Linked DNA regions of Arabidopsis thaliana. The protein of the gene in region 1 interacts with the protein of each later gene in a pairwise test. Each region holds a gene or a part of one and is shown in the gene's direction. Other genes may lie near its edges. The genes, in order: KCO1, AT4G10080 and AT5G15240.

What was found.
Region 2: the proteins of KCO1 (region 1) and AT4G10080 interact in a protein complementation assay, tested with the Arabidopsis thaliana proteins (one large-scale study listed by BioGRID).
Region 3: the proteins of KCO1 (region 1) and AT5G15240 interact in a protein complementation assay, tested with the Arabidopsis thaliana proteins (one large-scale study listed by BioGRID).

The regions. Positions count from the first base shown.
Region 1 is NC_003076.8:22,529,539-22,533,672, forward strand, and holds KCO1 (Outward rectifying potassium channel protein), read left to right. Parts: upstream 1-1,819; 5' UTR 1,820-1,898; exon of another isoform or gene 1,899-2,148; 5' UTR 2,149-2,179; coding exon 2,180-3,105; intron 3,106-3,189; coding exon 3,190-3,355; 3' UTR 3,356-3,584; downstream 3,585-4,134. Other genes in the region: AT5G55620 (uncharacterized protein), read left to right, coding at 835-1,140; AT5G55640 (Na-translocating NADH-quinone reductase subunit A), read right to left, coding at 3,706-3,996, 4,079-4,134. UniProt on the Arabidopsis thaliana protein: Voltage-independent, large conductance and potassium-selective tonoplast ion channel. Regulated by cytoplasmic calcium and pH. Does not mediate slow-vacuolar (SV) ionic currents, but essential to establish VK currents.
Region 2 is NC_003075.7:6,299,431-6,304,431, reverse strand, and holds AT4G10080 (uncharacterized protein), read left to right. Parts: upstream 1-1,687; 5' UTR 1,688-1,871; coding exon 1,872-2,723; intron 2,724-3,852; coding exon 3,853-3,978; 3' UTR 3,979-4,413; downstream 4,414-5,001. Other genes in the region: AT4G10070 (KH domain-containing protein), read left to right, coding at 4,673-4,838, 4,982-5,001.
Region 3 is NC_003076.8:4,945,567-4,950,976, forward strand, and holds AT5G15240 (Transmembrane amino acid transporter family protein), read left to right. Parts: upstream 1-2,010; 5' UTR 2,011-2,195; coding exon 2,196-2,337; intron 2,338-3,008; exon of another isoform or gene 3,009-3,429; coding exon 3,430-4,040; intron 4,041-4,126; coding exon 4,127-4,645; 3' UTR 4,646-4,844; downstream 4,845-5,410. Other genes in the region: GASA4 (GAST1 protein homolog 4), read left to right, coding at 278-459; FTSH6 (FTSH protease 6), read right to left, coding at 4,845-5,192, 5,266-5,410.

The DNA.
Region 1 (4,134 bases):
AACCGAATAGTAAAACCAACTACTGTATTTATCATGGCCATTTTTCTTCTTCTTTCTTAATTTCTCTCTTTATTAAAAATTTGTTAATTATATCATAATCTTAACTGTTTTATATAAAAAGTGTTTTTTCCTAGAATATACAAGGTATTCCGCAAAAAATGCCAATAAAAATGGTTTTAAATTAAAAAGAAAGACCAAAACTCATATAACCTCAAAAACATAGTATGTTATTTTTAGTTAATATAAATATTAAATACTTTCACCTACTTTCTCCTTGCACACCACAACTGTTTTATACTTGTCCCCACCTAAGATAATGAGTGCATGAATGCATGAACCATCATTGGCCGATGCGTTTCCTGGTGCATGTAGCTCACAGCCGTCGTTCTCACATTTTGTTATTTATGATCATACTTTTTTTTCATTAAAAGGAAAAAGGTTTACTGGTTTGGTTTAGAACAAGAACTACTCGTTATAATCATACTTTTGTTTAATTAAAAAAACAAAAACAAATAATTTCTAGTACATCTTATATTACATACTATAGTTTGATGATAAAAATAAAATTCAAATGACGATTATCATGTCGAAAAGACAAATAATAATTGTCTTACTGACCTACCTGCCTGCCTCTATATATATACTAGTCTTTGGTCGCCTTTACTATAACCAAACATCGAGCTTGCCTTAGAGTTTGTCTCAAGCTTCTCCTTTTTTGGTATTTTGTCTTAAGCTTCCTTGCTTCTCTTTCTTCTTCTTCTCTACTCTTTCTCTCTATTTCAAACCTTCGTTTTCTTTCCTTTTTTGTATAAAATCTTAAAATCAACCAAGACAATGGAAATGAAATTGCTCTTTACATCGGCTTTCACCCAAATGTTCGGCTACTCGAACCATATGGATCAAGCCAGCAACTGCCAAAGCACCCGCAACAAAATTATAAAGATGATGAAGAAAGAAGAATTCCCAAGTGGATTCCAAGTCCCTCTTCACTACCCTAAATACTCCAAGTCTGATTACGAAGTTATGGATGATCTCCGCCTTGACTTGCTCCTCAAACAATATGGATTCTCCTTTGAAGGATCTCTTGAAGACAAGAGGGTTTTTGCAATTGAATCATTTCTCTGGCCTGATCAGCTTTAGATGGTCTATGTTGGTGTTGAATGATCTTATATCGCTCTCCACATGCATATCAATGAGCCTATACTCGAGTGGTTGAATGTTTTTAAAATTATGTCAAATTACCATGTATATCAATCACTTAGTAATGTTTTAGAACTATGTCAAATACTAGTGTGTGTTATATTTCTTTGTGTGTGGGGATGTTTTGAAGTATGCAATTCTTCACATATATATGTATCATATGAGTGCATTAATAACATCTTTGATGTCATGTATAACACTAAAAAAATGTGATTTATCGACTTATAAAAATCTTAACATATTGACATTAACATAAAACATATAGATTATTGTATGATATAGATTAAACATGACGTCATGCTGGATATTTTGGCTTATTGGCTTGTACATTACTTGTGATTATGAGTGTATAATATAAAACTAATTACTAGATTTGCACAAAAAAAAAACAGAAGGATAGAAAACTAACTAGAAAATTAAGACATTACATACATTCTTCTATATGAAAAAAAACATTTAAAAAACAAAACAAAACATTTTTATACTAAGATACTAATGAAAAATCCTATCAAGAAAATGAAGAAGATCATAAAAACAAAATTATCGGATTTGAAGAGAATAAATTTTGACCAAAAAAAAAGAAGATAATTAAAATAAAATAAAAACAAGAATTGGCCAACTGTGAGAACATCATCAATGAAGACCAATTGCGAGATCCGACAACACCGCTTCTTTTGATTTCGATCTTACTTTCCTGGGTATGTCTCAATTCTTCTTCCTCCTTCAGTTCGTGTTCTGTGTCTGATTGATTACTCTCACAAAACTCATCTTTTCATTGTCTAAAGGTCTAATCTTTAGCTATAACTCAAAATCTGTATCTAAGTTCTGACAAGTTTCTGTTACGAAATTCAAATTTTTTGATACATATGTTCATTTCTCAGAACAGGAGATGTCAATTTTGGCGATGGTTTTCGTAACATAAACATGAGATTTGATTGTTCTGTGCAGATCTCATAGTTAATCTGGTTTGAGTCTAGAAATGTCGAGTGATGCAGCTCGTACGCCATTGTTACCCACTGAGAAGATAGATACCATGGCTCAAGATTTCAACCTGAACTCAAGAACTTCTTCTTCAAGAAAACGAAGATTGCGTCGCTCTAGAAGTGCTCCTCGTGGTGATTGTATGTACAATGATGATGTCAAAATCGACGAACCACCTCCTCATCCGAGTAAAATCCCAATGTTCAGTGATCTAAACCCGAATCTCAGGCGAGTGATCATGTTCTTGGCTTTATATCTTACCATTGGTACGCTCTGTTTCTACCTCGTGAGAGACCAGATCTCCGGTCATAAAACCAGTGGTGTGGTAGATGCTCTCTATTTCTGTATAGTAACGATGACAACTGTTGGATACGGTGACCTTGTCCCTAATAGTTCCGCCTCAAGGCTACTTGCTTGTGCCTTCGTCTTCTCGGGAATGGTCCTCGTTGGTCACCTCTTAAGTCGAGCGGCGGATTATCTAGTGGAGAAACAAGAGGCTTTGCTCGTTAGGGCTTTCCATTTGCGTCAAAGCTTTGGTCCAACAGACATTCTCAAGGAGTTGCATACTAACAAGTTGAGATACAAATGCTATGCTACATGCCTTGTCCTTGTAGTCCTCTTCATTGTTGGCACGATTTTCCTTGTAATGGTTGAGAAAATGCCGGTTATCTCAGCTTTCTACTGCGTCTGCTCCACGGTTACAACATTGGGTTATGGAGATAAGAGCTTTAACTCGGAAGCCGGACGCCTTTTTGCTGTGTTTTGGATCTTGACGAGCAGCATATGTTTGGCTCAGTTTTTCCTTTATGTAGCTGAGCTAAATACAGAAAACAAACAGAGGGCGTTGGTGAAATGGGTTTTAACGCGAAGAATCACAAACAATGATCTCGAAGCAGCTGATCTCGATGAAGATGGAGTTGTTGGGTAAGAAAGACATCAGACATATTCTATCTTCTGTTTCCTTCTTCCTCTTCTTATTCTTTTTTTTTTGTCTATTGTGTGTTGCAGAGCTGCAGAGTTTATTGTGTATAAACTGAAAGAAATGGGTAAGATTGATGAGAAAGATATTTCTGGGATAATGGATGAGTTCGAGCAACTTGATTACGATGAATCAGGAACTCTCACGACTTCTGACATCGTTTTAGCTCAGACCACGTCTCAGATTCAAAGGTAAGCCTCATCATCATCATCATCTTGCGAAGACGAATCAGAATCTTTGTTTAGTTATACCTTCACACAACAAAAAGCCGAAGAGAGTGAACAGTTTTTCGAAATTTTGTTTGTTTTTTCCTGTTTGTGTTTGTAATGTAATGCCACACTCTAACTCTTTGATCGTTTCTTGATGCTGAGTGTATAATTTTACATACATCTATACATATGAAGCTCTCTAGTGTTATGCTCCATGACCAAGAATTCATGGATGATTCTCTCAAAGGACAGGGTATGAAGACTGTTTTATTGCTTTAAACTTTTTTGGTATTTTGATTGATACAAAACATTTTCAAAAGATAGCGGTTTCTCGCGTTATGGAAGTCGTCGTTTCTCGAACTGAGATTCATGGCAATGAGGGTCAAGCCAGTCTCTTGAAACACCTTTTCCCATATTAGTTCCTTTCTCTGCACCTGCACCCCCGCCTACAAGCTCTCTTAAGTTAGCCATTTTGTTTTCTCGACCAGAGCCGCTCATTTTCTGATCTGCTTCCTTGAGCATCTGCTTAAACCGCTGCTTGCGGCTCGATGTGTTACTACCACCATCTTGTAGCTGCGAAGGAGGAGCTCCATGTGGTCCTAAGTAGATGTTTTCTTCAGCTTTACTCTACAAAATCATACAATGAGAGATAAAGAGTTAACAACATTTTTTTGAAACTTGTCTTGTACGTAAGAAATCAATCACTAACCTTAGGAGAAGAAGGTTTTGATGTTTCAACTTCTGAATCATTATTATTATTAACCT
Region 2 (5,001 bases), on another chromosome or scaffold:
AAAACTTTCAACAAACTTAATAGTTATCCAATATTTACTAGACTAATTACATATAATGCCATTAGTGGTACTTATGCATATTTTTCCTCTACATTTAAGAGAGTAGCAATTAATAAAGAAAATTAATCAAAAAACCATATATATTTGAGCAAACAAGTAAAAAGTATATATCATAAATTATGATGAACAACATATAATATAAATGTTTATTATATGTTTCGTACTTTATTTTTTTAGGTTTTATAGAAAACATTTAGAATTTTAACATATATGACATTCTATTTTTTTGTTATAAATTGCAAAAAATCTAAATGTATATGTGAGCCCATATGATTCTTGAATATATTCGGAACATAGTTTTACATAAATTAGTTAGTAACATTTCATTTATTACACATTCACTATGAACAATATTTCAATATTAATCTATGTTAAAAATGTATCCGCTTACTGATTACTTTCAATATTATTTCTTTTCAAATTTTTACCTTATCAATTTATTAAAACTTTTACACAGTTTATTCAATTTAATTAGTCATTTACTCATTTTAGTTAAAATTTATTTACAACCCAAAACCTTATCGTAACAATATAAATTGATTAATAAAATAAGGGATATGCAATAAATCAATCCTAACTACATAGAATTATGAAGAATAATAAAAGATAATCAAAAATTTATTACGTTTAAAACATAATTATTCATACTCTTTTCAGTTTTTATATTGAATTGTTTCCAAAATAAAATCTTATAAAATACAAAAAATATTCGAATATATTTCTGAATTATAGGAATGATATTTCAGATTTTCTTTTGGGTCAATATTTTAATTTAAAATCTTATTCCAAATATAGAATATCCTAATTCCTAACTAATAAAATCTCCAAAATATATCAGTTACTAAATCATATTCAAATATTCACACTTATATATCAAGTGATAATATAAAATCTGTTTCCAAAAACTTGTTTATATATTTCATATAACTATTTCTCCCTGTACATAGTTCGGGTAAATCATCTAGTATTTGATTAATTCATTTGATCTGCACCATACGATTCGTCGTGAACCCTAATTAAATCATTGTGAAAAACCAAAAAAATGAAAGAACAAAAGGAATAAATACCATACTTCTCTCAATCTACCAACCTTTAATGTCAAAAGATCTAGTTGAGTACTGAGAATGTTACGTGACCAATTAGATACCTCTACATAACTACTTCCTCAAAGTGGATAAGAACCATTCTTTTCGAAACAAACTAAACTATTAGAGACTAAACCATTTAATTTTGGAGCGGACAATAATCCGTTATAAACTAAATTTATTTCTATATAAAATCGGTCTAAAGTTTTTACCGATTTTTTTTTTCTATATTTTTGGTCAGTACTATTATAAATACTAATCTATAAATAATAAATAAGAAAATATTTCAATCTACCGATGGATTTATTTGCAAAACCCACCTCAACCGTTTGAATCTTGATTATATATATTTTTCTTACATCGTCTACTCTATTTTAACCGATACATATTTGTTTAATTCATTTGATCCGCACCATACGATTTATTGCCGAATCCTAATTAAATCGTTTTAAAAAATAAAATAAAAATGAAAGAACAAAATGAATAAATACTATAGTTCTCTGAATCTACTAAACTTTAATGCCAAAAAATTTAGTTGAGGACTGAGATTGACACGCAACCAATTAGATACCTCCACGTAATTACTTTCTCAAAGTGGATAAGAACCATTCTTTTCCATCATCAACCGCTCTAATTTGTTGCGATCCTTTTCCAATATTTGGGGTTTTATCCATTAGGGTTTCTGATTATTGCAATCCCAATCTGAAATCTTCGAATTCGATCATCATGGATGATTGGGAGCTTCTTCATCATGGCTCTGATACAGAATCAACTGATTCAATCACATCGGAGACGAAATTAGAGAGTTCAAGCGTAATCGATGACGGTATGATTCTTTCTGATCATTTCTCTGCTACTGATCGGGTGATTGAATCGGGTTATTTTGATTCTTTTCGGGTTGATTACGGGTCGGAGTGTCTGAATCCGGGTGAGGTTAGTGTTGATTCTGGTTTGGATCAGTTCAGTGTTAGTCAATCGGGTGATGATTGTGTCAGAAATGAATTTGGGGTTTATGATTCAGAAACTGGAATTTTGGGTGATGGTGAGGTTAGGCTTAGTGATTTTGAAGCTGCCAATGAGAAATATGTTGAGAGCGAAGCTGCTACTGAATTAACTGGTGGAACCGTATCTCACTATGAAACAGAGAATCTCGAAGAATTCGTTGATGGAAGGCACGGTGAGAACGAATCGGGTGTTGAAGAACCTATTGAGGATTCGAGCAAGTTGTGTTCTGATTTAGGGGGAAATGAATTGGTTTCTCGAGATTCTGGGGTTGTGAATGGTGAAAAAGAAGTTGTTTCTGATAGTGTAGTTGCTTCTAGTGAAGTAATTGAGGGAAGTGGAGGAGATACTGTGGAAGTTGGAGGCGTGAGTTCTGGTGGTGAGGGTAAAAGTAGAGAGACTGTGTGGTGGAAGATGCCATTTGTGCTTCTTAAGTACTCTGTGTTTAGGATTGGTCCGGTTTGGTCTGTCTCTATGGCTGCTGCTGTGATGGGTTTGGTTCTCTTGGGACGTAGATTGTATAATATGAAGAAGAAAGCTCAAAGGTTCCATCTTAAAGTTACGATTGACGATAAGGTACACTATATTATCATTGACCCTTGTGTTTTCATTTTGCTTGAAGTTGGTAAGCTGGTCTAGATTGATACGTTTTAGGAGTTAGCTACACTCTATGTTGTGTTGATGCAATTGGTCTGACTTGAGCCGTAGAATTTCAAGTTTAGTTTAGTTCTTGTCTTGTCCTGCCTTATATTAAGGTGGGGGTATTGGACGCATGAATTTGATAGACTTCAATAGAATCTTAAATTCTAGTGTTATTCAATTAGACATTTCACAAATTCTTTTAAATTCTTGTGTTATTTAACTTGCTCATTTCTTAATTCTATTAGTTGCAAGTGTTATTCAGTTTTCGGTAGTTTTGTTTGACAACGTTACTTCACAAGAATTTAATAGAAAAATTGGTCTAAAATGTGAAGAACAAATTCTGAGTTTTTGAGTTGAGATTTGGATAGAATATAACACATCCATCCTTTTTTTCTCTTTCATCGATTTGCTTCAACCATACAAAAAAAATTCTCAAATCTGAGGGAGAGTGTTTAACACATTTATTAGAATCTGTGATTTCGATCCGGTTTATTCTTCGGATCATCATTCGTTCGATTATATATGAGGAGAGTGCGTTAATCTATAGAGAGCAGATGAGCGGAGGTTGTGATGACGTCGTTGTCGTTGTTGTCAAAATATGGATCTCTTCCATTTCATGTAAACGTCAACGTAGATTGTTTCTGGGTTAAGAGGTTTGTGAAGGAAAAAGTACAGTTTTTAGAGATTGGGCATGGTGGCTGTCCCGATAAAGAGCATTGTGGAACAAAAGATTTCAGTAATTTATCTTCTTAATTCTAGTAGAATTCTATTAAAAATACTGCAAAATATTTATTTGAATTGAGAAGAAAGATTCGAAATTCTTTTATTATACCTGAAAATCTAGAATTTATGTCCAATACCCCCCTCTAAGATATAGATTTTGTAGTTAATATGTTCTTGTAATCTGTCTGAATTAAGTACAAAAATACTGAGGCATCATCCGCTGAAAATGCTGTGATTTGATATTTTCCCTTAGCGCACATCTCTTTGCTTGGTTGGTATTTGTTTGGTGTTGGTTTACTTCTATCATTATCACGTCTTGGGTTGTTTATGATCTGTGCAGAAGGCGTCGCGGGTGATGAGTCAGGCTGCTCGACTCAATGAAGTGTTCACAGAGGTAAGAAGGGTCCCTGTGATCCGCCCTGCTCTACCATCGCCTGGCGCATGGCCGGTTTTGAGCCTTAGATGAGAAGCCGTTTTCTACAATACCTAGACACAGTGGAGAATCAATCATACAATGTCCATCACTTTATGTACCGTAAGAATACAAATACATGTGTTTATGTCGTACCTATGCATAAGTAGTAGTTTACCATCTTATGAAATCGCGTATGTGAGTCGTGTCCCAACCGTGGGATACACTGCAGAGTGATTACCGTAGCGATTTATGTATGTTCAGAGACTGAAAATCCCAGTTGGTAAGCCTTTTTCTATGTTTGATCTTAAGAATTTCATAAGCTATATGTGGGTTTTGTTATGGATTTCATTGGGGTTTCAAGCTTGTAAACTATTATAGAGAGGAGGACATAGTCCAAAGTCGATAAAACCACTACAATGGAAATAAAGACCCTACAAATTTCTACTATGTTGTCGATTCTACAAAATTTGAGTAGAAGCTATCGTCTCAACAACATCCCCTCGACGATCAACAAAGAAAACATCATTATTTTTGATAACTTTAAAAAAAAAACTGGTAGCCCATTTTTAGGCCCAATAAAAGCCCGAACATTATAAATAGACGTTAAAGCCTTAAACGTTACTTCTCCACCACCGTTCAGAGTCGCAACCCAAACTCTTTTCACTGCCGGAGATAATTCTCTTCTTCCCCAAACCCTACAGTACTCAGCTTTCCCTAAATTCCTCGCCGGACGATTCGTTTCCAGATGACGGAGGAAGATTTTGTTGTTATCTCTACGCCGCCTGTCGATCTCAAGCGAAAGCTCGACGAAGTTGAGCTTAATGGAAATATCGTGGATGATAGCAATCAAACATCTGATTCTTCTCAGGCTAAACGAGCGAAGCTAGAAGATGAAGCTCAAGATGGTTTAGGTGTTTCTGTCTCTTTGGCTTCTTATAAACTAAAGTTTTGATTTTTATGATGTTCTATGGTTATAGTTTTCAAAAAAAGAGATTTCTTTGAGTTTGTTGATAAATCAGTCTTTCTCATTGTTGTTCTTCGGCCTTTGTTGTAGATTATGGGAATACACAAGAA
Region 3 (5,410 bases), about 18 Mb from region 1:
ATAATAAAAAAAAATAAGCATTTCAGTTGCAGAAAATAAGTTGAAAGTGAAGTGTTAAGTGGACTGTTTGGTCAGATCCGTAGACTCAAAATATATTAGATATTGACGAAATTGCCCCTTAATATGGTCATACAGTCAAAGCAACCCACTATCTTGAGACCCACAAAACAGTAAAAAAAAAAGCTAATGAATTTCCACTAGATTCTGTTGTTTTTATTAGTAATAAAAAATTTTTGAGTGTTAACATTTTGATATTGTTTGTATTTGAAACAACCAGAATGCCCATCGGAATGTGATAGGAGGTGTAAAAAGACACAGTACCACAAGGCTTGCATTACGTTCTGCAACAAATGCTGCAGGAAGTGTCTCTGTGTGCCTCCGGGTTACTATGGGAACAAACAAGTTTGCTCCTGCTACAACAACTGGAAAACTCAAGAGGGTGGACCAAAATGCCCTTGAAAAAATCTCCCTTCGTTCCCTTTTTATAATAAAAATTTTCAACTATAACTAAATTTCCTTTGATCAATGTTTTATCTACTTTATTCCTAATGTTGTAATGTTATGTCACTCCTTTTCGGATTTTGTTCTAAATCCTAAAAAAAATGAGAGTGGCCCTATGAATGATATTTTTCATGAATACTTGTGTTTCTAAAGATATTTTCCCATTCATCCACCAAAAAAAAAGATATTTTCCATTTCGAAAATAGTAATACTATAAAGGGTAAGGCAAACCAAATAATACAATTTAAAAAATTCCTGCGAAAGAAGTATGCATATGTAGAAAAGAGTGACATTGGGTCTCTCGGCCCAGTACTAAAAAGCCCATTATTGATTTTTCCAAGCTTTTTACAAAATCACGTGTTCTAACGCGATTGCTTTTTGCCGCAATCTTCTTTTATACAAGACTTGGGCTTTGGGCAGTTGGAAATAAATAACGACAACGATATTTTACAATCGGTGCAATGATATGAACCACAAACTTATAAACGTTTTACCCGTTCATTACCCTACGTATCAATAAATACTCTTAATAATGCCTTATATATTGACATTAATCGACAAGAAATATGAGGTTTGGAGTACAACTATAGTTATTAGCATTAACAACAAAGCTCAATTTAGCTCTCTTTGTTAGACATCTCACATGCATTTTGAATGGTGATCTTGAAGAAGATACTTTTTTTTTTTATCAACATGTGCATGCTATTTTTTCACAAGCACAACATGGGGAAATGGCCGGCAATGAGTATTCTTCTTTTCTAAAGAACTCATTTTGTAACCTATAAAAGTTTTTGGTTTCGATTTCTGAATGAAAACATATTGGATAACTGTAAAAAATTTGCAGTATGGTTTTAATAGTAACGAAAATATATAGATATATATGTCGATATTTTCATTATTGTTAGAACTACTCGGCACCTTGTAGAACATAACTGTAAACTAGCGTCAAGATATTGATTTACGTCAGATCAAGGCTATTCATACTTATCTACTCTTTAGGTCTGGGGATTCACTTGTCAACTATTTTTAACAAACGACAACAAAAAAATATGTGACGATTTTTCAAGTGCTCCAGTCTCGTCCAACAGATTATTGACATGATATACTACTTTGGACCATGTATTTTTATGAAAATTTGATCCCTCTTCAGTCTTCACCGAAAGAGGATTTGGTACTTGCATTCTCTCTATCACCTAAGTTAAACGCCCTAACATTAAAGTGGAAAACTTCGTGGAGTTTTATTTTCTCTCTTCCTACCAATTTTCTTATACAACTAACATTAAATTCTAGAACCACACAAATCGCAAATTATGGTAGATTTGTGTGTAAGTGGTTATAATTTTTTTCTATATAAAGAGTTGCACTTAAATTTCAATTAGTTTCTAAAAACCCCATCCACGAATATTTAATTGGTCAATAAACATTAAATAGAATTCCACTGCCACGCTAATATCGTGTAGATATCATATGTGCATGGATACTGCATAAAAATCAGCTCTAATAATTGATGTAATTTAAAAACATTGACCCTAGTAAATGTATTAACACTATATATATTGCCTTTTGAGGGTTTCTTTATTGTTTACTTCCAAGTTCCAACTTCTCTCTATCTATTTCCTTCGTCTCTCGATCTCTCCGTCTCTCTCTCTTTGTCTCTTCGATATCCAAAGAGCAGAGTCAAAGACTAAACAAGTATGAGCGAGGACAAAGATTACATGTCGGAGCCATTTATCGTTAAGAAGATTGATGATGAAGAATCATTGCTTGATGATTATAATCCACAGGGCAATACTTCTTTCTCCAAGACTTGTTTCCATGGCATTAACGCCTTATCAGGTTTAATTTCCTCTTCTTCTTCTTTTTTTTTTTTTCTATTTTCATTTTCGTGATTGATTTTTTCTTTTTGATTTATTCACCACTTCTTCTTATCTCCAAACTCCATAACTCACGGGGAAAGATCCAACTCTTAGCATGTCCACATATATGGATAGGATATATCTTAATTTTCAAAATAATCTAGAAAAAACTATAATTAGCTTTATTGTACTTAATTTCTATAGATGCATGTTTTTAACTCAAGCTTTTGACTTTATCTTGTATCATCTAGATTGGTGTGTATTTCAATCCTACATTTTGTTTCTTTACCTCCTAGTCTTGCCTCAGTTTTTTTAGTTATTTAATTTTTCTGTTGATAATTTATCATAACCAAGTTAAAACCAGTTCTACTTAGACTGAATTGTGTTTTTCTTCGTCTAGATTCAGTTTCATAGTCTTTGATAAACAATAGTGCTAAATAACCAAATCATTTTTGTTCTGACTATTAAAGGTTAGGATGGTTCCGTTTAACTGAATTTAACACTATAGTATTAACAATTCGGCAAAGTTTTCAATGACTATTGCTATTATTTATTCGCTAAATGTGGTAATGGCCTAATAATGGGTTTATCAAACTGGCCGCTATCGTTGTACTTAATTGTTTATATACCAAACTAGATACTTAGTTTATACTAAAAAAACTAATTATATACTGGAAACACGTCTGACCAAACTAGACCAAACTAGACCATATACGAACAAAAAACAGTCCATATAATTAAATAGAAAGAAACCAGCAATTCCAATTATCTTTCAGATATAAATACAACGTGTCACTGAACAAAACCTTAACACATTAACAACACGTCTTCCCTTTTCAATTTGTGTTCTTCTTCTTCTACAAGACTACAAACCACTTTGATAAAATCAAATCATATTATCTTATTGGTAACGAGACCACGAATATTTCTTTGCGTTTGTGTTTTCAATTAAAAACTGCGTTTGCGTTTTCATATATACAAAAAGAACGTTTGTAAATAGTTAACACAAAAAACGTTAATTAGCATATGCGTTAGGCTTGGACATTCTTCTGATCAACTCTTTTTTTTTTAGGTGTGGGTATATTATCGGTCCCTTATGCCTTAGCATCCGGAGGATGGCTAAGTTTGATCATACTTTTCACCGTAGCGATCACAACTTTCTACTGTGCCATTCTCATTAAGAGATGTATGGAAATGGATCCACTTCTTAGATCATACCCGGACATTGGCTACAAAGCCTTTGGAAACACAGGACGTGTTATCGTCTCCATCTTCATGAACCTCGAGCTTTACCTAGTTGCAACTAGTTTCTTGATCCTAGAAGGTGACAACCTTAACAAACTCTTCTCAAACGTTGGACTCAACTTCATGGGGCTTGAATTCCAAGGCAAGCAAATGTTCATCATCATGGTGGCTCTCATTATTCTTCCTTCGGTTTGGTTAGACAATATGAGGATTCTTTCTTATGTTTCCGCGAGTGGTGTCTTTGCTTCCGGGGTTATTCTTGCTTCTATCTTTTCGGTTGGAGCTTTTGAAGGCGTAGGGTTCAAGAACAATGACTCAGAGGTCTTTCGACTTAATGGAGTCGCTACTTCGGTGAGCTTATACGCGTTTTGTTATTGCGCTCATCCAGTTTTCCCAACTCTATACACTTCCATGAAGAACAAACGCCAATTCTCAAACGTAAGTTTTTTACATAACGGATCATTAGGTTATTCTTGACCAAAACTCACACTAATAATTTTGCATATTTTTTTTAACATTTTCAGGTTATGATTATATGTTTCACAATATGCACCTTCATATATGCATCAGTGGCGGTATTGGGTTACTTAATGTATGGATCAGATGTTGAATCACAGATCACTTTGAATCTTCCTACTGATAAGCTTAGTTCAAAAGTGGCGATATGGACTACATTGGTCAACCCAATAGCTAAGTTTGCTCTCATGGTTACACCTATTATTGACGCAATGAGAAGCCGGTTTTCTCGAGTTTTGCCTAATAAAAGAGCTTCTGGATTTTTGCTAAGTACAATACTAGTTACTAGCAATGTGATTGTGGCATTGCTTCTTCCGTTTTTTGGTGATCTTATGAGTCTTGTGGGAGCATTCTTGAGCGCATCCGCATCGGTTATATTGCCATGTTTATGTTACTTAAAGATCTCTGGGAAATATCAAAGACTCGGATTCGAAACATTGGTGCTCATCGGAATCACTCTAACCGGTATCGTGGTTGTGATAACCGGAACTTACCAAGCGGTCAAGGACATTTTTGGTCGATTTTGAAATCCCAATAGGTGAAGTTTAGCTTATAGAGTATTTGTTTAGGAAGATATTTGTACTACCAACAGTCCAATACCATAATTTGTTTTATTTGATTTTTTGTGACTTTCGTTAACGAAGTTTTTTTGAGTTATGTAATAATTTGGAATGAGAAAAATGTGAATACGTTAAATGAAGACATGAGTTGATCTAGGTGTCTGTATTAGACACTAATCAAGTCATTGATTCGAATTCTTACATCGCCATCGGTATTTAACGGTTGATCAGTATACTCAGACAGAATTGCTCGAAACTCGTCTCCCGTTAAGGTTTCTTTCTCCAACAAAACATCAACAAGCTTGTCTATAGCTTCTCTATTATTCCTCACGTGCTTTTTCGCAACCTCGTAAGCGTCACCGATTATTTTCTTCACGCAAGAATCAATATCCTCCGCAAGTTTCTCGGACATTGAGTTCCTCGCTAGCATCCGTAGAACCACATCGTTTTGCTTAACCGCTGGGTCGGTTAGTGCCCATGGACCGATTTCCGACATACCAAACATCGTCACCATCTGAACCATAAGAATAATTAGAAAATCCACCGTTTTTTTCCGGTTTATGAAAATTTTGTTTCAATTACTGTACCTGTCTTGCTATCTCAGTGACTTGCTGGAGATCACCGGCAGCGCCGGTGGTTATCTCCGGTTCTCCAAAAATTACATCTTCGGCGGCTCTGCCTCCGAGTCCTCCGACGATTCTAGCGAACAATTGCTGTTTAGACACCAATGTC